Regions from separate parts of the Mus musculus genome. Here all the other regions are reported to be linked to region 3. Evidence: microRNA targets listed by miRTarBase, many of them from high-throughput screens and not tested one by one. Region 3 holds a microRNA gene; each other region holds the end of a gene's coding sequence.

Region 1 (5,131 bases), not on the chromosome of region 3:
GCAGTTTTGAGGCAGAGAACTTAGGCCTGGGGGCAGTTGGTTGTGAGGGTAAGTTGAGATCTATGGGCAGTGGCTATATGCCTCCAGCCAGCTGTGCAGGTGCAGGCAGGATTCACATCCTGGAGGTTTCTAAAGGAATAGGTTTTCTTTTGTGGGTGGAACATCACCACCATCCTACCTCCCTGTGTTGACCTATGTCTCTCCTCTGCAGGTGGTCCATCCGGACTCCAGACATCAGCCTCCCTTGACCCCTCGGCAACAGCCCCACCTGGACTCTGGCTCCTTGTCCCCTGGACGGCAAGGCCAGCAGCCTCGAAGGGATCCCCCTAGAGAAGGCTTGCGGCCACCCCCCTACAGACCGCGCAGAGACGCTTTTGAAATTTCTACTGAAGGGCATTCTGGCCCTAGCAATAGGGACCGCTCAGGGCCCCGTGGGGCCCGTTCTCACAACCCTCGGAACCCAACGTCCACCGCCATGGGCAGCTCTGTGCCCAGCTACTGCCAGCCCATCACCACTGTGACGGCTTCTGCTTCGGTGACTGTTGCTGTGCATCCCCCGCCTGGACCTGGGCGCAACCCCCGAGGGGGGCCCTGTCCAGGCTATGAGAGCTACCCTGAGACTGATCACGGGGTATTTGAGGATCCTCATGTGCCTTTTCATGTCAGGTGTGAGAGGAGGGACTCAAAGGTGGAGGTCATAGAGCTACAGGACGTGGAATGTGAGGAGAGGCCGTGGGGGAGCAGCTCCAACTGAGGTGTGTGCCAGAGGTATCCCCGTGGTGCTTCCAAGGGCCATCTGAGCGGTGGCCCAAACTAGACCCTGGGGGACCTTTTATTCCCAAGGCAAAGCTGACGAGGCCAAACTCATCCTTAGAGTAACAATACCGTTCTAAACTGGATCTCCCCCCCCCCCCACCCTGCTATTAATCCCTTAGAATGCCAGTTTAATAGTTTAACCTTGTACCTGTTTGCTGGGCACTTACAGCAGAGTTCTAACAACCATGCAGATGACTTTACAGGGTGGGGAAAAAAATGATGAAATGAGTTTAGCACCCCAGTCAGAGTTTCAGGGCTCTCAGCTGCCCACTGGGAGTAAAGAGCTGTGCTGTGTAAGGCTCACAGTTCAGTGTGGTAGTGACCATAATGTGACCTCCTTTTTTGTTCTCTTTTAAAGGGTAATTAAAATCTGAAGCAAAGAGGCCAAAGATTGGAAAGCCCCGCCCCCACCTCTTTCCAGAACTGCTTGAAGAGAACTGCTTGGAATTATGGGAAGGCAGTTCATTGTTACTGTAACTGATTGTATTATTTTGTGAAATATTTCTATAAATATTTAAAAGGTGTACACATGTAATATACATGGAAATGCTGTACAGTCTATTTCCTGGGGCCTCTCCACTCCTGCCCCAGAGTGGGGAGACCACAGGGGCCCTTTCCCCTGTGTACATTGGTCTCTGTGCCACAACCAAGCTTAACTTAGTTTTAAAAAAAATCTCCCAGCATATGTCGCTGCTGCTTAAATATTGTATAATTTACTTGTATAATTCTATGCAAATATTGCTTATGTAATAGGATTATTTGTAAAGGTTTCTGTTTAAAATATTTTAAATTTGCATATCACAACCCTGTGGTAGGATGAATTGTTACTGTTAACTTTTGAACACGCTATGCGTGGTAATTGTTTAACGAGCAGACATGAAGAAAACAGGTTAATCCCAGTGGCTTCTCTAGGGGTAGTTGTATATGGTTCGCATGGGTGGATGTGTGTGTGCATGTGACTTTCCAATGTACTGTATTGTGGTTTGTTGTTGTTGTTGCTGTTGTTGTTCATTTTTGTGTTTTTTGTTGCTTTGTATGATCTTAGCTCTGGCCTAGGTGGGCTGGGAAGGTCCAGGTCTTTTTCTGTCGTGATGCTGGTGGAAAGGTGACCCCAATCATCTGTCCTATTCTCTGGGACTATTCAAGAGAAGCCAGATTTGCTTCATGCCTGTGTGTGGCAGCTTCTGAGGTCATGGGTAGCCCTCCAAGCACCTCTGCTTGGGTTTCAAAGAGAAGATGTTCTCACAAACATTGTGCTGCCTATTAGGGCCTCTATATAGTCAGCAGTCAGCACTAGTGGTGAAAGATTGGACAATGTTGCCTGATGGTGAGACTCAGCCGGGTCATGAGATTACCCTCTAGGGGTGTGTGGTTGTTCCTTTCTGATGATCACACATACACACAGCCTCCCACCCCCATACTCCAGATACAGGCCCAAAAAAACCTATTTCACTGAAGGTCTATATTCGAGCCTTTACAAATGATAGTCCCTCCCTTGCTATGACTGCCTGGTTGGAGCAGGCTAGGCTAATCGTGGTTCAGTCAACTGTGTGGGGAGAGTTTCTAAGGACTCTTTTCCACACGGTCTTTTCCTGTGTATACTTTCTTCTCTTCCCCACTGTTAGCATCCATCCAGTGTGATGTCTGTGAAAGCAGGAAGATGCCACCTCGTAAAAGCATATAGGGTAAGCTCTTTGAACCAGGTGTTGGGCTTTAGAGTTTGATTGTGTTCTCCTTCCCCAAGGTTTGGGTTTCTTTGTCTCTGGTCAGCAACTAGTAGATAGGGAAGGAAATGCCCTTATTCCTTGCAAGTGAACATTGAGGACTTGTCTCAGAGGAAGGAAGCCTAGTGCTCATGGAAGCTGTTGTGAGGAATGTACTCTGTCTGCATGCAGCTTCCCTGAATCCCTCCTATCCTTCATGGAAAAATTTAAGGAGATGGGTCCCTAGTAGTACCAATAATCTAGTGCCCTCAGATCCTAAAATTTATCCCCCAAATTGTAAGGTACTAATTGGAAGCCACCTGTGACTACCGTGTGTGTGTGTGTCTGTGTCTGTCTGTATATCCGTGTGCGCGTGCGCGCCAGAAGCCCTGGCCATCCACTGCTACTGTCTTAATGCCTGTCAAGCCACTGTCTGCCTACCCAACACCAGCTCTGCTCGGATATCTTGCACCCTGAGTTGAGGAGGGAGATGTAGAGTGCGGAAGCCACCTTGGCTGTGGTTCTTGATTGTGTCCCTCATGCCTGAGCCTTGTGCATGTGGCAGAAGGAAGTTTGTACAGCCTCTCGGCTTCTGTGCATCATCATGAGTCCCATCAGCCAAGGCAGGAAGGACACAGAGCTGGCAGGAGACTAAAGTCAGAGAGTGTGTGTCTCTGTCTGTCTCTCTCATAGTTTTATTTTGTCTGTATTGTTTGTTCATTTGGATGTTTTAATTTGTAAAAGAAAAGATCTTTGCTGATATTTATAATTTTGTATCATAAGAATGTCCTCCAGAATTTGTCATGCCAGTTTATAACAAGAAGAAAAAATTGCAGGGATTTTATTTCTATTGGAAACACTTATTGCAGTTATGTTTTACTTTTGAACAGAAGTTTTATTTGTATAGAGTGCTTACTAATGTTAAATAGTTCAGAGTATATAACATTTACATTAAGGACTCATGGTAGGTTTTAGTGTAAGGAGTTTAAAGGAAATAAATATTCAAACTGGGTCTCGTCTGCCAATTTGGGTGGAAATGAGTTTGTGTCACTTCAATTACAAAGATGAAAGTATGCCATATAATTTATTTATATGAAAATTTATTTTTGTAGTGTACATAGTAGTCATCAAGTCTTTCGACAGAAGTATATTTTTAAAGAATTTATATGTGATGAAATCCATAATGTCTGGAACTTTGCTGAGACATGGGTGTGAGGACACGTTTCGTTATAAATGACAGCAAGGGAGAGAAGAGAGTATGTTTTAACAGTGTTAGGAGAGTACACGTGAGCAGTGATCCATGTGATTGGAAAGTATCGGTGTGAACATGGTGACCTAGTGCGGTTCTCAGATGAAAATGTACAAAACTCTCTAAATATTAATGTTCAAACACTGATAGAAATTCTAACATGAATAAAGATAATATAACTTGTTGGTTTATGTGCTTGTTTCTAGAATGTTTCTTAAACTACATATACACAAGAAGTTCCAGGCCGTCTGTTCGTTTCTTCTTGCTGGCCTTACGGAAGCTGTTTTATGTGTATTTTGTGGACACTGGGGAAGTCACCTAATGACTCTTCTGAGCGTTCCCTTTTCTTACCTTTCTATGTAGGCACGCGGGAAGTGAATACAGCCAAATTCAGTGTAAACACAAGTGACCCCTGCAAAGGTCAATCAGTGGTTGGTTAGGAGTGACAGTTACTCTTACAGAGAGCCACTCAGAACTGTTGCCTCACGCTCCAGGGGATCTGATGCCCTCTTCTGGCCTCTACTGGCACCTGCATACACGTGCACACCCCACACACAGACACACAAAGAGACACTGACTTAAAGTTGAGAAGTTTTTTAAATACAATAGCATCACCATAGTTGAGAAGTTTTTTTAAATACAATAGCATCACCATAGCTGATGACATAGCACTAACTGACCTGGTACAGCTGATGATGGAGTGCTCACTGGCCTGCTACAAGGTGATTTTTTTAAAAAGGGTTCAGTGATGTGATTTCATCATAACCTCATCATACATGAGGAAAACATGAGTAGAGATTAACACCCGTTTCTCCTGATCACCTGTTTTTGTGATTGTAAATATATGCTCCAGAAGACCTGGAAGCTCAAACCATTCTAAGCGCGTGTCCTAGAGGGAGGATCAGCCAGTTGTAGCCAAGACTACCTCCTGGTTTTGTGTGGATTTGTCAGGAGACAGCCATATCTGTCTATACGCACCATTCATGACTGTTTTCACGCTATAGTGGCAGAATTGTGTGGTGTGCAATAGTGATTGACTGACCTGCAGACTGTTGAAATACTTGCTCTCTGGTCTTCAGGAAGAAATCTGCCAGGTCCTCTTAAGGCAAGGAAGTGTTGGGCCATTGCTACTCAAGTGTGGTCCTTCAGTCAGCATGCCTTAGAAGCATGCTAGAAAACCCAGAGTCCAGTGGTACTGAGAGTCAGGGTTCTGTGGGAGAGAAACCCAGGAGTGTGCTCTTAAGAGTAGGAACAATTTGTAAATTCCTCCAGGCTAATGTGGCCTTGGCACTCTGTGACTCAGGCTGAGTGGCCAGAATCTGGAAATAACAGAGCAGTCCCGACTCTGCTGTGTGGTCTTTCC
Region 2 (5,131 bases), not on the chromosome of region 3:
GCAGAGAATCAAGCTGCAGAGATGGCTCAGTGGTTGAGAGCACTTACTGCTCTTGCCAACACATCTTCTGACATGCATGGGCAACAGGTACACTAGTGCACATACATACATAAAACGAGAGATACCAAACTTCAGGAGAGAGAGATCAATGAACACATGCTGTTTGCTTAATACAGAAGTTCAGCCAACTCGCTTTGTTCACCCTTAGCCAGTTCTGGCCTTACACCTCCAGCGTCTGAATGATGACCATATTCAGAGTTGGCCTTTCTACCTCAATCAGGCCAATATGACTTAGGTCACTCTTCAAGTGGGGCTCCCTTAGGTGATTTCATCTGGCAAGATGATAACTTTAAAAGCCATCTTCCTGTATGACTACTTAAATTGGTATTTGTATGTGTGTTAGGCAGGGTAGTACTACAGAGTTAGTGTGGAGGGGTAGAGAACAACTTAGAGAAGTCAGTTCTCTCCTGTTGGTTCCAGGGATCAGACTCTCGTCTGCTTTGGGAGCAAGCACCCCTACCCACTGATGTATCCCATGGGCCCCCTGAAATTTTTTTTAAGAAATAGGCTTGAGTGTTTTGCCTCATGTGTGCTGTTTGTGTCTAGTATTTAGAAAGACCAAAAGGATGTTGGCTCCCTGGGACTGGAGTGAGTTATGAGCTGCCACCTGAGTGCTAGGAATAGAACCTGGGTTCTCTGTAAGAACCACTGAATCTTCTCTTCAGCTCCCCCTGAATGTCTGTTCACAACAATCTTTGGAATACCTGTTTATAGCTAATCTGATCATTACTATTATGAGGTCATACCTGCAGCAATAATTATTAAGCCAGTGTTAACTTGGTTTTCTCTTTTCTCAACTGATTGTGCTAGACTGTCTCTGAAATACCCAGAACCTACAGAGTTGCTATGGGCCAAGAGATTTCTTGACATAACTCTAAAAATAAAGGAAATCAGAATGTGGAGTGAAAAGTCTATTTCCAGGTCTCTGATGTATTCCTAGACTCACAGTAACTAAGCTCTTGGGGAGCTGCCTGACATTTCCTACACCAGTCTGCGTTCTGCTAGAAGGGCTTGAGGACGCCAGTTCTTGTCAGCATTTTCTTAAAGATTGATTTATTATTTATTATATGTAAGTACACTGTAGCTGTCTTCAGACACACCAGAAGAGGGCATCGGATCTCATTACAGATGGTTGTGAGCCACCATGTGGTTGCTGGGATTTGAACTCTGGACCTTCGGAAGAGCAGTCGGGTGCTCTTACCCACTGAGCCATCTCACCAGCCCCCTTGTTGGCCCTTTTAATTGTTCATTATTTGCATTACTATCTGCATGGATATAAAATAGTCATAGCTATAGTTAAGCAAACATGCTACATCCTCTGTAGAATGACTAGCTCCAGAACACATACATGCTTTTTTTCTTCCCAGCTGAAACTGAACCCCATGAGGGAAAGAGGAAAGTGGAATCTCTGTGGCCCATCTTCAGGATCCATCACCAGAAAACCCGCTATATCTTCGACCTCTTTTACAAGAGGAAAGCCATAAGCAGAGGTAAATGGCTAAATTTCTTGACCTTTAAAAAAACTGTTACTGTGTGTCCATACTTATGGAGGCAAGCATGTGTTTTGACTTCCGTGTGAAGGTTGTAGGACAACCTGCAGTTTTGGTTCTCTTTGCCATGTGGGTCTGGGGGATCCAATTCAGGTCATTAGACCTATCTAGAAAGCATTCTTGGTCCCTGGGCCATCTTGCCTCTTGGCTCTTTTGTACTTGAGTGGCTTTCAGGATTTATACAGTAGTTTATAAAAAGCTGGGTCTGGTGGCACATGCCTTTAATCTTAGCACTCAGGAGGCAGAGGCAGGCTGATCTCTATGTGTCCTACTTCCAGGACAGTCAGGACTACACAGGAACCCTTGTCTTAAAAAACTAGAAGACGAGGAAGAGGAGGATGAGAGAAAAGAAAGGGAACAAAAGCCAAGTGTCATGGTTCAGACCTATACTTACACACTTGGGAAGCAGAGGCAGAGGACTAGGGAGTTCCAGCTAACCCTTGACTGTAATGTGTTGTGGTAAATCTCCAACCCAAATAAGCCCATGCAAGGAAAACACAACTCAATACGAATACAAGCTTCGTGCCTAGACTGGGCAGATCTACTCCTACACTGCTACAGCTATGAGATCCCTCTTAACTTGTGATTTCTCTTGGCCACGTGCTGCTGCTCCATTTTCCTTCTACCTCGTCCTCCACTTCAGTGTTCCTCTCTCCTTCCTCTCCTCTTTCTCCCCCTCACTTTTTTTTCCCTCTCCCCCCAAAATTTTTTAGCTCCACTTCCCCTCCACTGCCCAATCACCGGCTCTAGTCTTTATTTTACAAGTTAAAATGGGGAGAAGGCTCACATGAAGTCACCCGAGTAATGATTCACTCCACGTCCCAGGCAGCCCTCTTGGGGAAACAGAATTAGCATCAAAATACAAATAGCACTAGGGAAATCCACAGCAGTAGTGGGAGATCGTGGCTCCAGAAATGGAAATTAAAGCAATGATTATCTTTGCAAACCCATCAGTCATCAGTTTTCTTACCATGAAAGCTGAAGTCATTTGTGTGTGTTGGTGTTGTTATTTTTGAAATAAGGCTACACTCTGTAGCCCGGGCTGACATGGAATTTATTATATACAGACTGACCTCACACTCACAATGCCCTACCTGCCTCTGCTCATTTCTGGGATTATTGGCTTTTGTTGCTGTTTTTAAGTTTTGTTTTTTGAGACAGGGTTTATGTAGTCATAGTTGTTCTAGAACTCAATTTATAGATCAGCCTGACCTCGAACTAGAGATTGTTCTGCCTCTGTCTCCCAAGTGCTGGGATCAAAGGCTCATGCCGTCATACTCAGCCTAACTTTTCCTTTCAGTCCAAGGTGAAGGCAGGTTTGTTACGCCATGTTCTGATGTCTGTCCCCAACTTTCTGACAGAACTCTATGAATACTGCATTAAAGAAGGCTATGCAGACAAAAACCTGATTGCAAAGTGGAAGAAGCAGGGCTATGAGAACCTATGCTGCCTACGCTGCATTCAGACTCGGGACACCAACTTTGGCACCAACTGCATTTGCCGGGTTCCCAAAAGCAAGCTGGAAGTGGTAATGCCCAGCGGTTGGATGGGGGTTACTTTCTGTTTAAAACTTTGTCTTAGTTGACCATGAGGGTATTTTGAGAAGTAGTTTCATCACTAGAACCCTTCTAGCCACCCTTCTCAAAAGTGAGTCCTGACCAGGGATCCTTTTAAGGTGGTATCTGGGGCTGGTCTCAGTACTGTCAGTGGGCGAGTAACTGCAGCAGACCTCACTCCTTAGGGAGTAGTGATGGCAGTGGCTCTCAAGTGACAGGAGGGCTATGCTTTGAGGCTGGCTGTCAGGTGACCTATCTATCCCTCGAGTCTCACAGGCACATTCATCTCTGCATGCCTTCTGCTTTGTTCCATAGCCAGGACTTGGGAGGTGGAGGCCAGCCTGGGCTAGTACTGAGGTCCTGCTTCAGAAGAAAAAGTGCTTTCAAGGGCAGGCCAGGCACCCACAAGCAGTAGCTGGGCTCCAGTCTCCACATCATTGAAATGGAGAGCCAGACGGAGGTCAGAACAGACAGTCCATCCTTTGACTTTGTGTCCTCTCAGTACACTGAAGCAAGTCTTAATTCCCAGAGTTTTCATTGAGTGCAGATGGCCTCAGCTCAGCAGGTAGCTCTGTCCTCGGTATCAAGGGTGGAGCTCTGTATGATGTGCTGAGCCATGGCTCGTGGGCAATAGCTGCTTCCCAAGAAGCTCTTGGTGTCCCAGCCTGTGGTTGAGGTTTAACTGAGATTCAGGGCTGGAATGTTGCCTGAGGTGGTAGATGGCCCCCTAGAATGCGTGAAGCCCTAGAAGCCCTAGGTTCCATCTCCAGTGCCCCATAGAGCCAGATGTGCAAGTGTACATCTGTCATTCTAGCATTCAGCAGCTGTTGGCAGGACCAGAAAATTAGGGTCATCCTATATATGAGACGCACTCAGTTAAAACTAACAGAACGTTACCAGAGAACTTTATTTGTTTAGAATGGGCTCGTGGCCTCCAGAAAAGGAGGTAAAGACAGCATTGCTCCAGGACCCCCATCCCCACCCAGTGGCCTCAGGAACTCTGGCTTTCGCCCTCTTGGCAGTGACAAGTGTGTCTTGTTACAGCAATCACACACAGACACTAACTTCCGCCTGGTAGTAACTGTTCCACGTCACAAAGGAGCTGAGACGCCCAAGTAGAAGTGTCCAGTAGAGATGCTCTGCAAGGGAGTGTGCAGGGCTGTAGCAGTGTGTTCAAATGTTCTTCTTCTGTTTCAGGGTCGCATCATCGAGTGCACACACTGTGGCTGCCGGGGTTGCTCTGGCTGACACCCTTGACTCCTCTGCATCCTGGTCTTTGGACCTTGGACTTAAGACTTATTGGGCCACTGCCTGAAGCAACTCTTCTCAGAGTGGTGCTCAGAGAAAAGACCCAGGGGGGGAAGCATGAGCTGTACAGGTGACGACTTTAGTGTTCACCAGCTGAGATCTGTAAAAATAAAACCTTTAGACCTCCTCGCTACATTCTTTCTTTTAAGAGTGCCAGGGGATGGGCTTAGTCCTGGCTCTGTGTTGTAGATGCTGTGTGACCATGATCGTTGTCAGGATGCTTTGGCCTGGTGTGGGACCTGCTATGATCTGGGCACCCTGAGCCCAGCATTTGCCTGTAAAGTGCTGTGGTGCCTCTGGAATATTCTTGGCCTCTGAAGTTGAAAGGACTCCCAGGCTCCCCCAGCAGTGTGAAGGCTGGGCACTTGTCATAGCCGCGTGCTCCGTCATCCGTCCCTAAGGCCGCCAGCCTTGTCAGTGGTGTCTTGGTCCCCAACAGGCTTGTTCTGGAACTCCTGCCAGGGGTGGGGGGCTTCCTCTGCTGGCATGGCTTTCAACCACTGCTTGTAATAAGCCCGAAAGCCATCAATCTTCTCCAAGTAGGTGTTTTTTCCTTTGTACTATAATTAGAGATGCACAGGACTGTCAGTGTGAGTGAGATACAGGCACAGAAGCCTCACTGTGAAACCCATAGCTTTGTACAATGAACACAGGATA
Region 3 (5,131 bases):
GTATAGTTCAGTGTTGAAATTCTTTGGACAACGGAGGAAGAAGCCTTCGAAGCCTCCTTCTCAACGAGGGCTGTTCTCAACCCTGACCTGCCAAGTGGCCTACCGTGTGACCTTCTGCGACATGCTCCGCGTTTCTAGTTGTAAAATGAAAGGTGTTGACATCTTTGAGATCTCAACCAATTTAGGCTTCCAACTGTACTTTCAGCCGGCGCTTTCAGGACCCACAAGCCTTTTCTTATAGAAAGAGACTAGTTAGTGCAAGTTGGAGCAGTGTAACCCAAACTTGGGCAGTCAGGCCAGAGAACGCTCAACAAATGGGACAGGATGGGTGGGGGGGAGCAAAGGCTGAGGACCCTCCAAGCTCCCCAAGGAAGCCATAGGCTAGCTAGGGAGGTTGATAAGGAACACAATTTTAAGCCTGTGTCTCGGGCTCCAAGGGTCCTGGGTGGGATTTGAACATCTCTCTGTTAGGATAAAATGGATGGGCTGGCACCCCTGAAAACCTTTTGTGGTGGGTGTGAGATAAACTCTGTGAATCAGAATCAGCAGACCCATTCCATCACCACCACCACCACCTCCTCCCTTGAGGCCCTCATCTTTTCCCTAAAGTGCAAGGTTTGTATCAGCAGATTTCCCCCTTCATAGAAAGCAGTAAAAGTCCTGCACTGTCTCAGGCTAGGACTCTACCTCCATGGGACTCCTAATGGGGGGACTCCAGCCTGCCTGGACGGCAAAAGAACCAAAGGCGACACACATTTGAACTACACCTAAGACACAGTCGTGAAGCTATGTGACCACCTTGGTGTAGGAAGGACTGGCTCTTACAAAAATAGCAAAGGAGAGGGGCCAGGGAAGAGAAGGCTCTGAGTACCGGGGCAGGCTCTGGGGAAGCCCCAGCCCATCCGTGAGACGTGGAGGCAGGGAGTGCTGGGCAAGCAGGCTGAGAGAGCTGCTCTGCTTTCCTCAGAAATGAGGTCACCACCAGCACACAGGCTCCCAGGTGCACCAGGAAGGGGGAGCAAGCCCAGTAGATGCAGTTGGGGGGAGGGAGGCTCCTGGGTCCTCAAACACGCGAGTGACCCTTCACAGGCCTAAGAAACGGGAAGGAAAAGATGAAAGGACCTCGAACCCCTTCCTTCCACCCAATGAGTCCCTGAGAAGGAGGCACAGAGACAGCTGCTTTCCTGCCACCGCGTTTAATTTTGTCTAACATTCCAAGGCAATGCAGTGAAAAACTCTCCATCTACCGTATGGAAGCCACACCTTGCCCCTCCCCAGACCCAGGAGGTTCTCCTTTGTATCACTGAATTTATTTTTACTTTTACACAAGTCACCTTTTTGTTGTTAAGATAATTTTGCTAAGCAAAGGGTGTGGGGGGGGGGGAGGAACGGCTGGTAGGCACAAAGATGGAAAAAGATTTCTATTATCACAAGGGGGCTGGGCAGGTTCTGGATAGAGGCTGAGAGACCAATCTTATAAATAACTAAGGCAAGAGGCTCTTGGGATTGAACTGGGCCAAGATGGAGGTAAGGTGACCTAGGTAGTGCCCACCTCTGCACTTCTGCGCTGTGTGTGCTACTCCCTAAGGAGTAGGCCCTCACCCCCCAGATCTGCTTCCTTAATATGTTCAAGGAAAAGAAAGCGGGTCAAGTCAGGATGGTAGCACTAATCCTTCCCAGTCAATCTGCTAAAGCATGTATACACTGATATGTGCCTTAAAGAACCCCAAAAGACCCCAAGCCTTAAGGTATGTGAACTGACTTTGGATCCTTTCTTCCCTACACTTGATAGGGTCCATAGCTGGGTCTACATCCACCACGCGGGAGCCCTAATGGTTTCCTAAGTTGCAGGGGGCCCCAAACTTCAAGATAAGGAAAGAGTAAAGGGAGTGGCAGGAAGGAGAGGGACCTGAAGGCAGAGAAACCTCAAAGGGACCTTCCGCTCCTTGTGGGGCTAAGAACCACGGACACAGAACATTGGCACGCCCCACTCGCAGCGCCCAGCTAAGAGGGACCTGGAGCTTGAGTGGCCGGTGTGCAGCATTGGGTTGCCATGGGAACGGAATTCAGATTTTTTCCCCCAATTGCTTTTTTATTTGCTAGACATTGTAATACATCTTATGTTGCCATTTATTGGGGCGGGAAGGAGAGGAGCTCCAGAGAGCCTGGCTTCCCCCTTAACCAGTTGGGGAAGTTGGGGAGGCTCCGGCCCCAGCCGTCCGACCAGAACTATAGAGGTTTAGAGGATCTGGGCTACGTCTCTCCCGCCCAGCAGCCTGCTCTTGGTTTGTATGCAGGGCAGGGCCGGTCGGTCGGGGCGGGAGGCCCCCCGCCTAGGCCCCTTGCCATTGAGTACACTCCCCGCCAGTTCTGCTCCGCTTCACGCTGCACACAGACCCCCCAACTGCACACAAAGGCAGCTGCCAGAGCCGGTGAAAAGTGATCAAATTATCAAGAACTTGACCTCACCGAGGGGCGAAGCTCCAGCAACCCCCCAGCCGTATGCTAATGGTGCTCAGGGGCTGACTCGTCGAATAATTCGATAAAGGCTGCATTGTTAGCGGCAGGGCAGCCCCCTGCCCACCCTTTTACTCCCCCTACACACTGCCTACCGGTCTCTCTCTCTCTCTCCTCTCTCTCTCTCTCTCTCTCTCTCTCTCTCTCTCTCTCTCTCTCTCTCTCTCTCCCCCTTCCTCTCTCTCTCCCTTCCTCTCTCCCTTCCTCTCTCCGTTCTCTTTCTCATCGCATTTGCATCCCAAAATCCTAGTCTGCAGCTCAGGGCGTGGATTGTTCTAGCCTGATTTATGGGGTGAAGGCAAAGGCTGGCGCCTTCCCCGCCAGCGACCCCTCTGCAACCCCAGCCCGTTCCCTGCCCCCAACCCACTCCACTTCGGGGTTCCAGCCTCGGCGCTGGGAAATGGTGATGGGGGTGCAGGGACCGAGGAGGAGGTGAAGGGAATGCCTCCAGGACACGGCAAGTGTCCCCAGGAGAGCCGAGGTCGGATACCTGGTCCCGGCGTGGCCGCTCCGTCGAGCTGGAATCCCTGGGTGGCGTGGGCTTCTCTGGGCTCCTCTGGCTCCTGTGGCCAGGGCGGCCGGCCGGGCCATCGCACGCAGAAGTTGTGAGAGTCATTTCTACTTTCGGTTATCTAGCTTTATGACGGCTCTGTGGCACTCATACAGCTAGATAACCAAAGAGAGAAACGGGCCTCCCATTCGCCGGCACCGCTGCCGCGCTGTGGGCCCCACGTGCCGCCGCCGACCCGGCGCGGGGGCCTGAGCGGACTCCGCTCCCGCAGCCCCGGGCGCACGCGGAGAGCCAGAGGGGACCGACAGACACACAGACACACGGACTCCCGCCACCCGGATCGCCCAGCTCCCTTCCTCCCTCGCCCTCGCGATTTCTCCATCCCCAGTTCCCCGTCCAGTGCGTGCGCGGCCCGCTTCGACGCCGTCCCGGGGCGCACTCGGGTAACCGGCGCTCTGCGCTTGGGCAGCCTCGGGCGCCCTGGCGGCCCCCAGCGCACTGGACCATCAGCCCTCCTCTCGCAGGCTAATCGCCCCGCGGGGAAGTGACGTCAGTCGGGGGATCGGCCTATCACGGGCTTCCATTCAAATCCCAGCCCCCTTCCCGCGCTCGGCACCACCCAGCCTTACAATGGCCTCGGCGTTCACGGCTTCTGCGCCGCGAGGACAGGGGAGCGCCTCTTCTGCCCTCAGAAGCCTTAGGCCTGCTTGCTTGGATGCACACAGTCTGGCCTTTCTCTCAAACCTCTCTGACCTCCCAGCAACGTCTTAGGTGCCTGGCAGCCACCGCAGACCACCAGAGTTAGAGTTTGAGGGAAGAGGTTTAAGGTCGAGGTCTCTCCAAGGCAACCAAGTGAGCGCAGGAGAGGCTGCGAACCGGTCACTTTATCCTTAAGGTCTCTCTTCCTTTTTTTTCTTGCCCAGCACTGTACAGACACCGCGGTAGAGACTGGGGATTAAGGGAAGGAGTGGGTGTCTAGATCAATGTATCCCATATATATTGCCTGACTTGTAGGGATTCCCATGGCATGCTTCGCTCAAACCAGGTCCTAAATGTCGGCACCAGATTGTTAGCCCTTTCCCTCTGACCATTCCTAGTACAGCCAAGGATATGTAATCAATTGTGCCCCTGCGCCTTAAAGATATCCAAGGCCGTAATTGGGCTCCTATTCACCTCCCATAAAAATAATCAGCTCCTGCCATCTTTCTGCTCACAGCACACCCTAGCCCACTTACTCCAAGTGACTTTACAGGGCAAAAGAATTGACATTTTGAGGTTTCACAGTAGAATTGAGCCTGGCCACCAAACTGAAGTCCCGTCTCAGTCTCCTAAACGTGGTGGTTTAGAGGTTGCTCACCTGAAACCCATCCTGTCTTCCTTGCTCCTGTACACCCCTCCCACTATGAGCCCTGATTCACCCCCTTCACCCATTCCTGGGAGGCAAAGGATTAAATATGAAAAATTCGATATCTCCTTCCCCCCCCCCCAGTCATCCCTAGAAAGATCTTAAATCCAAGATCTAGAGATTGACTTAACAATAGAGTGGGGGTGGGGGGTAGCGGGTTCCAGGATTCCAGCAGTGACTATGAGGGAGTCCCAAAGACTCTCTGTGCTAAGGCATCCCCAAAGCAGCCCAGATTTGGTGGGGGTACTCATTCAGATCTGTTTTGGTGAGGCGGGGGGGGGGGCACCCCTTACACACTCTCCATCAGCAAATCCCATAAGGCTGGGTTCAAAGAATAGGCCCAAAGTGGGTGATTTGGAAGGGATCAGGGAATTTTTCTAAAGGTATCTAAAGCAGTCTCCCTTAAATGACACATCTGGATTTTTTTTGTTTAATACCAGGCTTTGGCACCACACCTCTGTACCCCGTGCTTGTTTTAGATTCGTCCTATTTTTTATCTTGACCCCAAATCCAAGGTGGGCTGCATCCCCACTGCCATCCCTGTCAGCCAGTGAGCAAGCCAGCTAGCAGTTACACACCTCTTTCCAAATGCCACCTCACAGACAAATCCTTGTCTCAGAAAAAGGACACAGGCTAGACTGAAAAGCATCAGAGAAACAGAGGGGCCGACCTACCGACAGCAAGGCCCAGGAAGGAAC
Region 4 (5,000 bases), not on the chromosome of region 3:
CTCTGATATGGTCAAGTTTACTCTATAATTATTAAAACCAGAGACATTTCTCTCATGTACAACAAAATAAAATTCTGTATCTTCTATTCTTTCAAACCCAGCATAAAGAGTACTTACAGCATTAGCTAGAAAGTTAGGTTTCTTGCTACTACTATTATTATGGCATTTTGTGTCTGGAAAGTCTCATCTCACTGAAAGCTAATATTAAAGTAGAAATAGTAGTTGTATTATTTATTAGTAAGCACCCAAGCTCTTACGCAAAACAGGTCACCTTCGTAGATGTATGTATATATATATATATACATATATATATATATTGAACTGGTCTAGCAATGTGACAATATATTACAGTTGTTTGTCCTGAAATTAAACTAGTAATTTTATAGAATATAAATATATATATAATATTCGTGGTTTAGTGACAGAAAATTGACTTGGTTTTCTAACATTGTGAGAGCTGAGGTCTAGGTGGATACTAGTGTAACTGAAGATAACCCACATGTAACTCTGGTTGTTAGAGGTTAAAATGTATATGGGTCAATTACAGATGACTGTAAAGAAGACCTTATCCAATTTCCGAAGGACACATCATGACAACTGGCAAGAACACAAGCAGCAGTTCACTGATGACCAGCTGCTTGTCCTCACTGACCTCCTTGTGTCACCATGCTATTATGCATAGAGGGGTGAGTTACATGGGTCTTTCCCAGCATGTGTCGTCCTACCAGTAGCCAAGGAAATACCTACAAGATTTTAAGGTTTGCTAACATTTTAGATGTAACTGCTTAGATAAAGTGAAGAGAGTTCTTTGTTTTGACTTTTGGAGACAGGGACAGCTATGTAGACCAGGCTAGCCGTGCATTTGAGATTCCCCTACCATAGTCTCATGAACACTAGGATTGCAGCTATGTGTCACCACACTTGAATGCTTTTAAACATGACTTTTGAGGTAGGGGGTAGATAGTTTAGAGGAAGAGCCCAAATTTAGCAAAGATGAGACCCTAATTCGATTTCCAGTGCTGAGGTAAACAAACATGGTAGCCTGTGCCTGTACCCTCAGAGGATTTTGTTGGGTTGATTGTAAATACAGCTTTGTCTGTGGTCAGTGGAAATAACTATTATAGAATTTTTCTTGATTTTTGTTTCCATTGTTAGGGAGGCAATTTATGTGACTGTATTGGGACAGTTAGAAAATAAGTAACTTGCATCAGTAGCCTGGGATAGTCAGGTGAAAGAAAAGAAGTTGGGGTTGTACTAGGAACTCTGGTTTCTACAATCATGAGAACACTTCATCTGGATGTTTTTAAATGTGTATGAATCTTCGACTTGTATTTGTGTATATTCACATGAGCATGCCGTCCGTGCCTTTGGCGGCCAGAAGAGGGAACTGAGTTATAGATAGTTGTAAGCCTCCCTGTGGCTGCTGGGAACAGATACATATGCTCTTAACTGCTAAGCCATCTCTCTGTCTCATCATCTGGATTCTTTTGTTCATTTGTTTATTTGGTTTTTGTTTTGTTAATTTTCAGATAGAGTTTTTATCTCTATGTAGCCCTGGGTAGCCTAGAAATCACTATGTTGAACAGGTGGCCTCAGAGCTCTTTCTGCCTCCACCCCTCCCCTTTCTCAAATGCTAGTATTAAAGGCATTCCCTACCATGCACAACTCATCTAAATTCCTAAGTGCTTATTACATTTCTGTAAAAACAGAGGGCCAGAAAGTCTTTGTATAGACAAAGGTAAGGAGAATAAACACAATCTGTTTGGTGGGATTTTAGAACTGAGTGTTTTGATAATCTGACATAATTTTTTGTTTTATTTTTCTTAATGCAGATGACTAGTCCTCATTCTGGGCTCATTTCATCAAAAACTCCAGATCCTCAGGTATCATCCGTGGTGACTCTGCAAGTTTCACAACTCAGCTTCTCTTGAGCTTTCATCATTTTGGTGGCTTCTCTGTTTGGCCTCATTAGTCTTCGCTCACAGGTTCTCAGCTGCCATTTGATTTCCTAACTTGTTCTGAAGTGTTCCCTGAGTACTGATCACTTTTTCTTTTGAGACATATGACAAAGTCACAAAGTCTCAGACTAGAAGTAGCCTAGTACTATCATGGTATTATGACCAAACAGTCTCGAACGTTGTTAAAAACAACAATGTCCTCGGAATGGAGAATGCTCATCAATTATGTAGGTTCTCTCATTTCATTCATCTCACGTTATTTTGAGTTCTTCCCCAAAGGCTGTTGAGTTTAGCATTAGTAGGGCCATGGGTCATGAATCTGAAGTTTTGACCGCCTTGTGTCTAGAGAGCCATGAAGAGAAAAGGATCAAAGGGGGCAAAGTCTCAGAGTTAACCTAGAACCTGACACGCTCAACCACACTGCAGATGTCTGTATCTCCACAGACTGGAGTTTTTGGTGCTGAGTAAGAGCCAATTGCTGAAAAACTGGGGGTTTGGTGAATAAATTTTAGACTGATTTGTATGTGTATACAATGTGTGATTTTAAAAATAAAAAAGAACATCAATAAACACCATGGCTGATTGTTTTTTACCCTGTAGTCCATACAAATATTGTTTTACACCCCACCTTGAAATACATTACACTTCAAATGAGTGGAAGATTGCAGTTTTTGATCTCTCTCCCTCTTCTTCTCCCTTTCTGTCTCCCTCTCCCCCCCCTTTTTCACTCTCTTTCCCTCTCCCCCTCTCTCCCCTCTACCTGTATGCCTGCCTACAGAATCACTAATATTAATAAGTCTTGATATTTGACTTGTTTAGTATGTTATGTAGATGTAAAAGATTGTACAATAAACTGTAGAGATAACACTGACAAGATTTTGTACAGATGCAACCCTTAACGCAGACCATTGTGTGACTTGTTTTTTTGGTGTATGTTTTTAAGTTATATTCTTTATCTTCTCGTGTTACAAAAGCTGAAACATAGGTTTTAGGTTTTTTTAAATTTATTTACTAGAATATCTGGATTTTTATGTACCTTTTTTGTGTGCATTTTTAAATGATAACATGTTTGCCTATCACAACTTTATAGAGTGCAAGTTATCTTCTAGTTGGAATAATTCACAAGTTGATAAATGTCATCTTTTAACACACTCTTTACAATCTTCCTTAAAGGAATACTACAGTCATTTTTTAGTATCTCTATGCCGAGTGTCTCAATATACACATACAGTAGTGGGCTTGTTACAGTACTGAAGTGTCGCCATACCCAGGCATAATCCCCGTACAGAATAGTACCTAATGAATAGTCAATTCAACTGTGTAACTAGTTTTAAAAACCGAATAAAATGGACTGTTTTTAATACCTGACTTTTATCTGAAGAGAAGACAGTTCAGTTGGGAGCAACTTTTGTGGGTTCTTTTTGCCTTCTTAGATTTAGATCTGTGACTTTCTTCCCACTTAGAATGAATTGTGGCCAGAATGAATGATCTAATTCTGCTCTGTTGAGTGCAGTAGCCAGGCTCACTAGGTGTGCTTTAAGTGGTAATTAGCCATGTATGATTAGTGATTATTACATTTAATGGTACAGTAGAACTTCTCTGTCATCACACAAAGTTCTGTAAAAACAAAACAAGGAGGCAAATGGTGGTGCACACCGTTAGTTCCAGCACGGGGGAGGCAGAGGCAGATCGATCTCCGAGTTGGAGGCCAGCCTAGTCTACAGAGTTGACTACTAGGACAGCCAGGACTACATAGCCTTTGTCTCAGAAGGGGAATAAGGTTTGGTAGCACAAACCCCATAACTGATTTCTCAAGGCCACTGCTTGAGTAAGACTGTACTGCCCACCTCAGCTTTTCTTTTTCTTTTTTTTTTTTTCCTATCTTTTGCTTGCTTGCTTTCTTCCTTCCTTCCTTCCTTCCTTCCTTCCTTCCTTCCTTCCTTCCTTCCTTCTTTCTTTTCTTTTCTTTTCTTTTCTTTTCTTTTCTTTTCTTTTCTTTTCTTTTCTTTTCTTTTCTTTTCTTTCCTTTCCTTTCCTTTCCTTTCCTTTCCTTTCCTTTCCTTTCCTTTCCTTTCCTTTCCTTTCCTTTCCTTTCCTTTCCTTTCCTTTCATTAGTTTTGTTAGGGAAATTGAGAGAAAGAACTCCCAAGGGAAGAATACTCCAGCTATTTCTAACTAAACTATATAAAGCTATACTTTAACAGTGATTCTTAAGTGGGAGCTTATAAATAAAGTAATTGGTAGTCAGTGTGGCCCTTAATTAAGATTCTCTGGATAGGATTCAGCTTCACCAACATCTTTTTTTTTTCTTCTTTTACTGTATTTATTTATTTACTTATTTTTAAATAATTAATTTATTTACTTTATTTTTCAGAGGCTAAAGCTAAATACAAAAGCAATGCTATCAGATTTCATAGTTCCTTTTTTAAAAAATATTTTATTAGGTATTTTCCTCATTTACATTTCCAATGCTATCCCAAAAGTCCCCCATACCCTCCCCCCAACTCCCCTACCCACCCACTCCCACTTTTTGGCCCTGGCATTCCCCCGTACTGGGGCATATAAAGTTTGCAAGTCCAATAGGCCTCTCTTTCCAGTGATGGCCGACTAGGCCATCTTTTGATACATATGCAGCTAGAGTCAAGAGCTCCGGGGTACTGGTTAGTTCATATTGTTGTTCCACCTATAGGGTTGCAGACCCCTTTAGCTCCTTGGGTACTTTCTCTAGCTCCTCCATTGGGGGCCCTGTGATCCATCCAATAGCTGACTGTGAGCATCCACTTCTGTGTATGCTAGGTCCCAGCATAGTCTCACAAGAGAGCTATATCTGGGTCCTTTCAACAAAATCTTGCTAGTGTATGCAATGGTGTCAGAGTTTGGAGGCTGATTATGGGATGGATCCCCGAGTATGGCAGTCTCTAGATGATCCATTCTTTCATCTCAGCTCCAAACTTTGTCTCTGTAACTCCTTCCATGGGTGTTTTGTACCCAATTCTAAGAAGGGGCAAAGTGTCCACACTTTGGTTTTCGTTCTTCTTGAGT
Region 5 (5,131 bases), not on the chromosome of region 3:
GAGTTAAAAGGAGACTGAAGATGCCATTGAGTAGTTTCCTTCTTTCTTTGTTCAGGAGAGCGGCCTTATTGTTGTGACCAGTGTGGGAAGCAGTTCACCCAGGTAAATGCCCTCCAGCGCCACCATCGCATCCACACTGGGGAGAAGCCATACATGTGCAATGCATGTGGACGGACTTTTACTGACAAGTCTACTCTCCGGAGGCATACCTCAGTAAGTGATGAGTAGCCTGCTTGAAAACAAAGCCCTTCTGGTCAGTCCAAAGGGTCAGAGGTGGTAGCAGGTTCTCTCTTTGGGTGTCCTGAAGTGACATCTAGCCAATAAGGTGAAGGACCCCTATGGCCAAGCCTATGGTAAACACTTGCAAGCAGTAGCTGCTGAACAGGGCAGATACTTGGTAATTAGTGCACAGATTTAAAAGCCAGGGAGATCTTTTGTTTATTTTTTAATATTAACCTTTTGATCGATAAACAGTCCAGCTCTGTTTTCCAGGCTGTTCTTGGACTTATGACCTTCCATCTCTGCCTTCCATGTGCTAGGGTTATGGGGTTTTTTTGAGTGGTTGTGTGCCAGTGTCTGGCCCTAAAGAGAGCCTATTGTTTTAAAATTTGCATGCATTAGTAAATATCTGTAAACTGGGAAACGTAGCTACACGTGCAGTGACTCTTATTTTGTTTTATTTGTAGATACATGATAAGAATACGCCGTGGAAGTCTTTCCTTGTCATTGTAGATGGCTCACCCAAGAATGATGAAGGGCATAAGACAGAACAACCCGATGATGAATATGCATCACCCAAACTTTCAGATCGATTACTATCTTTTGGTGAAAATAGCCATTTCAACAACTTACTGGAAGTCCAAGGCAATGTGCCTGCCGTGCAGGAGAACAGCTCTACAGGCGCTGCTTGCAAAGCAGTGGTGTCTCAGGACGCTCTGCTTACCACTTCCATCAGTGCCCTTGGTGAGCTCACCCCACAGGCAGTTTCCATGCCTGCACACCTTCCCTCCTTGACCAATATGGAGTGAGAACTTGAAGTTGTGTGCCAAGCAGTCTGTGTAATTGCTGTATTCCAGGTGATGCCAGGGGCTGAGGAAAAGTTGTCTGTGCAAAAATGTAGGCAAGACTGGCCTTGCAGGTTTCTTCAGACTTCCATGACCTTGCACGTCTCTTTCACACTTGAACATTCTGTTAACATTCTGATCTGCATGATCTCAGCTACATTTCATCAGCAAACACGGCAGTTAGCATAGCTCATTTAACCCTGGTGTAGCCGTACATGTCAATCACACTAATGCTTGATTCTCTTGACGTCTAAACCACTGCTTGTCTTAATCATAGAGTACACAGCATTGACCCAGCTTGGGAAAGTGCTGTTCGTGGTCTCCTGGTCTCGCCCTGCCTTATGCTTCCATGTGTGTTTACTTCACTCTGGTCCCTTTAGGGCGTTTTTCTACAGGGTTAAAGTAGAACTGGGGCCACTTATTTTTAGCTGATTCTTCCTGAGATAAAAGCAAATAAGATTTATTCTGGGAACCCTAGAATGGGGTTGAAGAAGTAGATGATTCCGTTCGTTTCTCTCCAACCCCCTTTTGTAGGCACGAAAAGATGAATGGCGGGTGGAACATGTTCAGGGTAGTACCTTAGCATGTGTACAGGTAAGGAGTCTGTCATAACATCCAATTTGGGATGAGCTGTTGAATTTTGTTCCCTAAATCAGATTAAGTCAAAGCTGTCCTACCAAAGAATCCAGCAGACAGTTGTCTCTCTACAGAAGTGTGAGAAATAAAGCCTAGGTGTCAGAGCATTTAGCTAGGTACATTTTCACAAACAGCATGATGAGTGAGCCTGGCAAATCTTGACTATTTTGCCAGGCTTTTTTATAATGTCCAGAGCTCCCCAAACCCCCATTTTCACAGGGGAAGATGACACAAACTAGTAACTGCTACAAATTCACCTCTAGAAGAATGCAAGACTCTAGAGCAGTGGCTCTCAATGACCCTTTCAGAGGTTGCCCTAAGCTATCAGACAATCCAGGATATTTAATTATGATTCTTAACAGTAGCAAAATTAGTTATGAAGTAGCAATGGAAATAACTGTATGGCTGGGAGTCACCACAACATGAGGAACTGTATAAAAGGGTCCCAGCATTAGGAAGGCTGAGAACCCTTGAACTAGAGGGGACCAGAAGCCTTGGTATGCTCAACTTCTATGCCTTAACAAGCGGATCATAAGGAACCAGGGATGTTGTTTCAAATGTTCCTTTGGCTTTCTCATGCTGAATTTAGTAATTGTTCAACAAATTTCCTATGAAAAATGCATTTTATGGTACTTGCTATCCCTGATACATGGTTGCAGGGCCATGGATGGGTATGTGGACCCTGTGCCACCTGTGACCCTTAAGCATTAATTTTAAGAGGGCCTTAAAGGGGGAATTCTTATGCTTTCTGGTTGCCTTTCCTCTCTGCTTTTACTAAACTTGCTGTGAAAACACTCTGGTTTCTAAGGGAATGACTCCTAATGTTCAGGGTGAAGATAGATCACACAATGATAGAAACTGAGAGTTCTCACTCAGTGATCACTTTGTGGTACTACCCTCAGGAGCTGGCGAGGCCACCAAAAGGGGTTCCAGGTGCTGGTAATGTTTCCCACTTGCTCTTGAAAGTTCAGGGCTGAATTATTTCACATTCGGTTATGACCTGGCAATCTAGTTGTGTTTACAGACAAAAACAGACAAAAAGACTAGTGATTGGCATATGACCATTTTATCTGGTAAGAGAAAACCTGCCCAGCTGATGTACTGTGTTATGGAATAAAGTCATCTTGATGAGAAGGAATTTAAACAATAGATTATTTTGTTACCTATTGGAAGAACTGTCTTGAATTTGTTTCTTTAGAAGTTCTAAATAAAATTGTTTAATGTGCTAATAATGTCTGCTTTGTAAAAGTCCTTCTAAATTTATTTACATTATAACTTAAGGTAGGATCTAAAGAAATAGACTCTTTTAGTCTAATTTGTTTAATAGCATGAACATTAAAACTTCAAGTCAGGGTCTTCTATTTATAGTCACCACAGATGACTGACTTACATTCCTGAAATCAACAGTGGCACACACAGGAGAATGGCCTCTGCTCAGCAGTGGTCAGTTTTGATCTGGGCCGCGTATAGCATAAGGGCTCGCAGCAGGCATCAGTGAACACTTGGCTATATCCATCTTATCTCTTCCCAATAGGGGAGGTGAGCTTTAGGGACATAGGCCCTAGAGTTACACCACTTTGTGGTGCCTCACGTACTTCTAATCTAAATAGTTTTATGCTGTGAGAAAGCAAGACCTGCCTTTAGTGAATTTGTCCCAAATGTGCTCTGACAGCATATTACTCTCAGAGCATCCATAAGGGTTACTGAAGAGGCGACCTGGTGCCATTACAACCATTCTATGTCACAACATAGTTCAAACACGGGAGAGCTCTATAGCCTTTGGTTTTATCAAGGCTTTCTGTAGCAGTTTTAAAAAACGGGCCAGGAATTTGAACCGTTAGATTTTTGCTGTTGGGGATTATCTAATCAGAAGTGTAGATTATAATTTAACTTTCTAAAGATTTTATGTGCATGGGACTTTCCACTGCATGTTTCTATGTCTGTGTACAGCATGCATGCTTGGTGCCTAAGGAGGGATTAATTCCCCTGGAACTGGAGTTACAGCTGTGAGCCACCATGCACTGCTAGAAGTCAACCAGGGTCCTCCAGAAGAGGAGCCAGTCCTCTTGGTCACCAAGCTTTGCCTCCAGTCACAACTTTTAACTTGTTAAATGTTACACCACTCTAACTTCTAAACCGCTGCCAGCAGAACCGTCAGGTGAGTCTGGCACAAAGCCCCTAGCAAAAGTAGTGCTGTAAGCTTCAGGGGGAGAAACTAGTTCTGACCTGAGTCAATTTCACTAGCCAAAAAAACAGTCAAAAGGTTACCGATAACTTCCACTTTATTTACTGTACAGGTTCACATAAAACAAACGTTCTTTTAGCTAAGATAGATTTATTGTTACACGATTTGTTTTTGTAATGGACTCCCTTGCCTGAGAGCAACTTAGGACTTTACAGTGCCTGCTTACTGGTCACAGCTCACACTGTAGCAGGCAGGTCACGGGCATGCTGTGCTGCTGCCAGATTCTCCACAGTTACAGAGGTTTGAATTTGGACATTTTAAGTGCACAATACCAGAGGGAACAATAAATGCACAAGGGCTGGTGCATATACTTTGGTTATAGTGACACCATCACACATGGTTACAACTGTGCAAAAATACTGTTTTATGTCATTAAAAAAAAAAAAAGGAATTCACACAAGCTATAAAAATGTTGCCACAAAAGGAAAACTTTTCTGTAAGAAATATTAACTGCCATAACTATGAATTATCTCCAGATGCACTCAAATATGAGAACTATAACAATCGTTGCGTTTTGGTCACAATATTCTAGAGACCATGAAAGCCTAAAGCCTGGACATCTTGAGAGAATGCATTGCTCTGTGTCTGCGGGACATTTGAAGGGAGTAAGCTTGCATACTCCTGTCCGGACATGGTCCTCATTCTTTTATCTTCTGCCAAAAGTGTGTTCTTTGTATTTTTTTTTTTTTTAGATGGTCTGACTTAGCTTAGTCTGGAATCACGTTCCTCTTGCCTCAGCCTCCCAAGTGCTGAGACAAAATAAACTCAACAGGGACTCACCTCAGCCTTTCAGTCCTTTTTTTTTTTTGGTTGGTTGGTTGGTTGGTTTTTTGAGATAGATGGAGTCTCACATTAACTTAGGCTGGCCTGGAATTCACTAGGGAGTCCAGGCTGGCCTCAACCTCACAGCAATCCTCCTCCCTTCACCTTGTAGATACTGCGGGATTACAAGTGTTCATGATGCCTGGCCCAGCATTTAACTTCAGGAAAAGCAAATAAGTGAGTAAGTTTCTTTACAAGCAGCAAAGTAATCCAAACACTACTTTAACAACCCAACACTTCTTCATGGAGGTGTGTTAGGGAGCCATGATGAAAGGTAAACCACAGTGCCCCGTAAGACACCATGTGGGTCTCACTTTAAATGGTCGCATCAGAAGACTGAACTGGGAGGCAGAGAACAGAGGCT

The links. The annotated mature microRNA mmu-miR-9-5p reads UCUUUGGUUAUCUAGCUGUAUGA and lies in region 3 at 3,176-3,198, opposite strand. An mRNA with a match to its seed (bases 2 to 7 or 8) in the 3' UTR can be bound and repressed. Matches are read on the target gene's strand: a 7mer-m8 pairs with bases 2 to 8, a 7mer-A1 pairs with bases 2 to 7 and ends in A, and an 8mer does both.
Region 1: the mRNA of Ptch1 is a reported target of mmu-miR-9-5p. Seed matches in the 3' UTR shown: 7mer-A1 at 1,201-1,207.
Region 2: the mRNA of Ptcd1 is a reported target of mmu-miR-9-5p. Seed matches in the 3' UTR shown: 7mer-A1 at 4,440-4,446.
Region 4: the mRNA of Psme4 is a reported target of mmu-miR-9-5p. The part of its 3' UTR that is shown has no 7-base or 8-base seed match.
Region 5: miRTarBase lists Gzf1 as a target of mmu-miR-9-5p. Seed matches in the 3' UTR shown: 8mer at 1,740-1,747.

The regions. Positions count from the first base shown.
Region 1 is chr13:63,507,156-63,512,286 of GRCm38, reverse strand. Ptch1 (patched 1) reads left to right here. Exons shown (of 24, transcript NM_008957.3): 23 at 212-755; 24 at 1,175-3,959. The coding sequence ends at 754. Among named protein-coding and RNA genes, the nearest start is that of Ptch1, 56 kb to the left of the region's middle.
Region 2 is chr5:145,143,472-145,148,602 of GRCm38, forward strand. Ptcd1 (pentatricopeptide repeat domain 1) reads right to left here. Exons shown (of 9, transcript NM_133735.2): 9 at 3,907-5,034. The coding sequence ends at 4,861. It overlaps Bud31 (BUD31 homolog), which reads left to right. Exons shown (of 6, transcript NM_001310771.1): 4 at 1,428-1,550; 5 at 2,972-3,138; 6 at 4,364-4,607. The coding sequence ends at 4,414. Among named protein-coding and RNA genes, the nearest start is that of Bud31, 5.7 kb to the left of the region's middle.
Region 3 is chr7:79,503,346-79,508,476 of GRCm38, reverse strand. Mir9-3 (microRNA 9-3) reads right to left here and starts at 3,213; the gene lies at 3,124-3,213. All of the region lies in intron 1 of Mir9-3hg (Mir9-3 host gene), which reads right to left. Gm51285 (predicted gene, 51285) reads left to right here and starts at 3,141; the gene lies at 3,141-3,198.
Region 4 is chr11:30,877,832-30,882,831 of GRCm38, forward strand. It overlaps Psme4 (proteasome (prosome, macropain) activator subunit 4), which reads left to right. Exons shown (of 47, transcript NM_134013.3): 46 at 548-686; 47 at 1,833-2,530. The coding sequence ends at 682. It also overlaps a transcript of Erlec1 not described here. Among named protein-coding and RNA genes, the nearest start is that of Gpr75, 5.0 kb to the right of the region's middle.
Region 5 is chr2:148,690,021-148,695,151 of GRCm38, forward strand. Gzf1 (GDNF-inducible zinc finger protein 1) reads left to right here. Exons shown (of 6, transcript NM_028986.3): 5 at 56-213; 6 at 687-2,929. The coding sequence ends at 1,028. Napb (N-ethylmaleimide sensitive fusion protein attachment protein beta) reads right to left here. Exons shown (of 11, transcript NM_019632.3): 11 at 4,637-5,131. It also overlaps the pseudogene LOC108168731. Among named protein-coding and RNA genes, the nearest start is that of Gzf1, 11 kb to the left of the region's middle.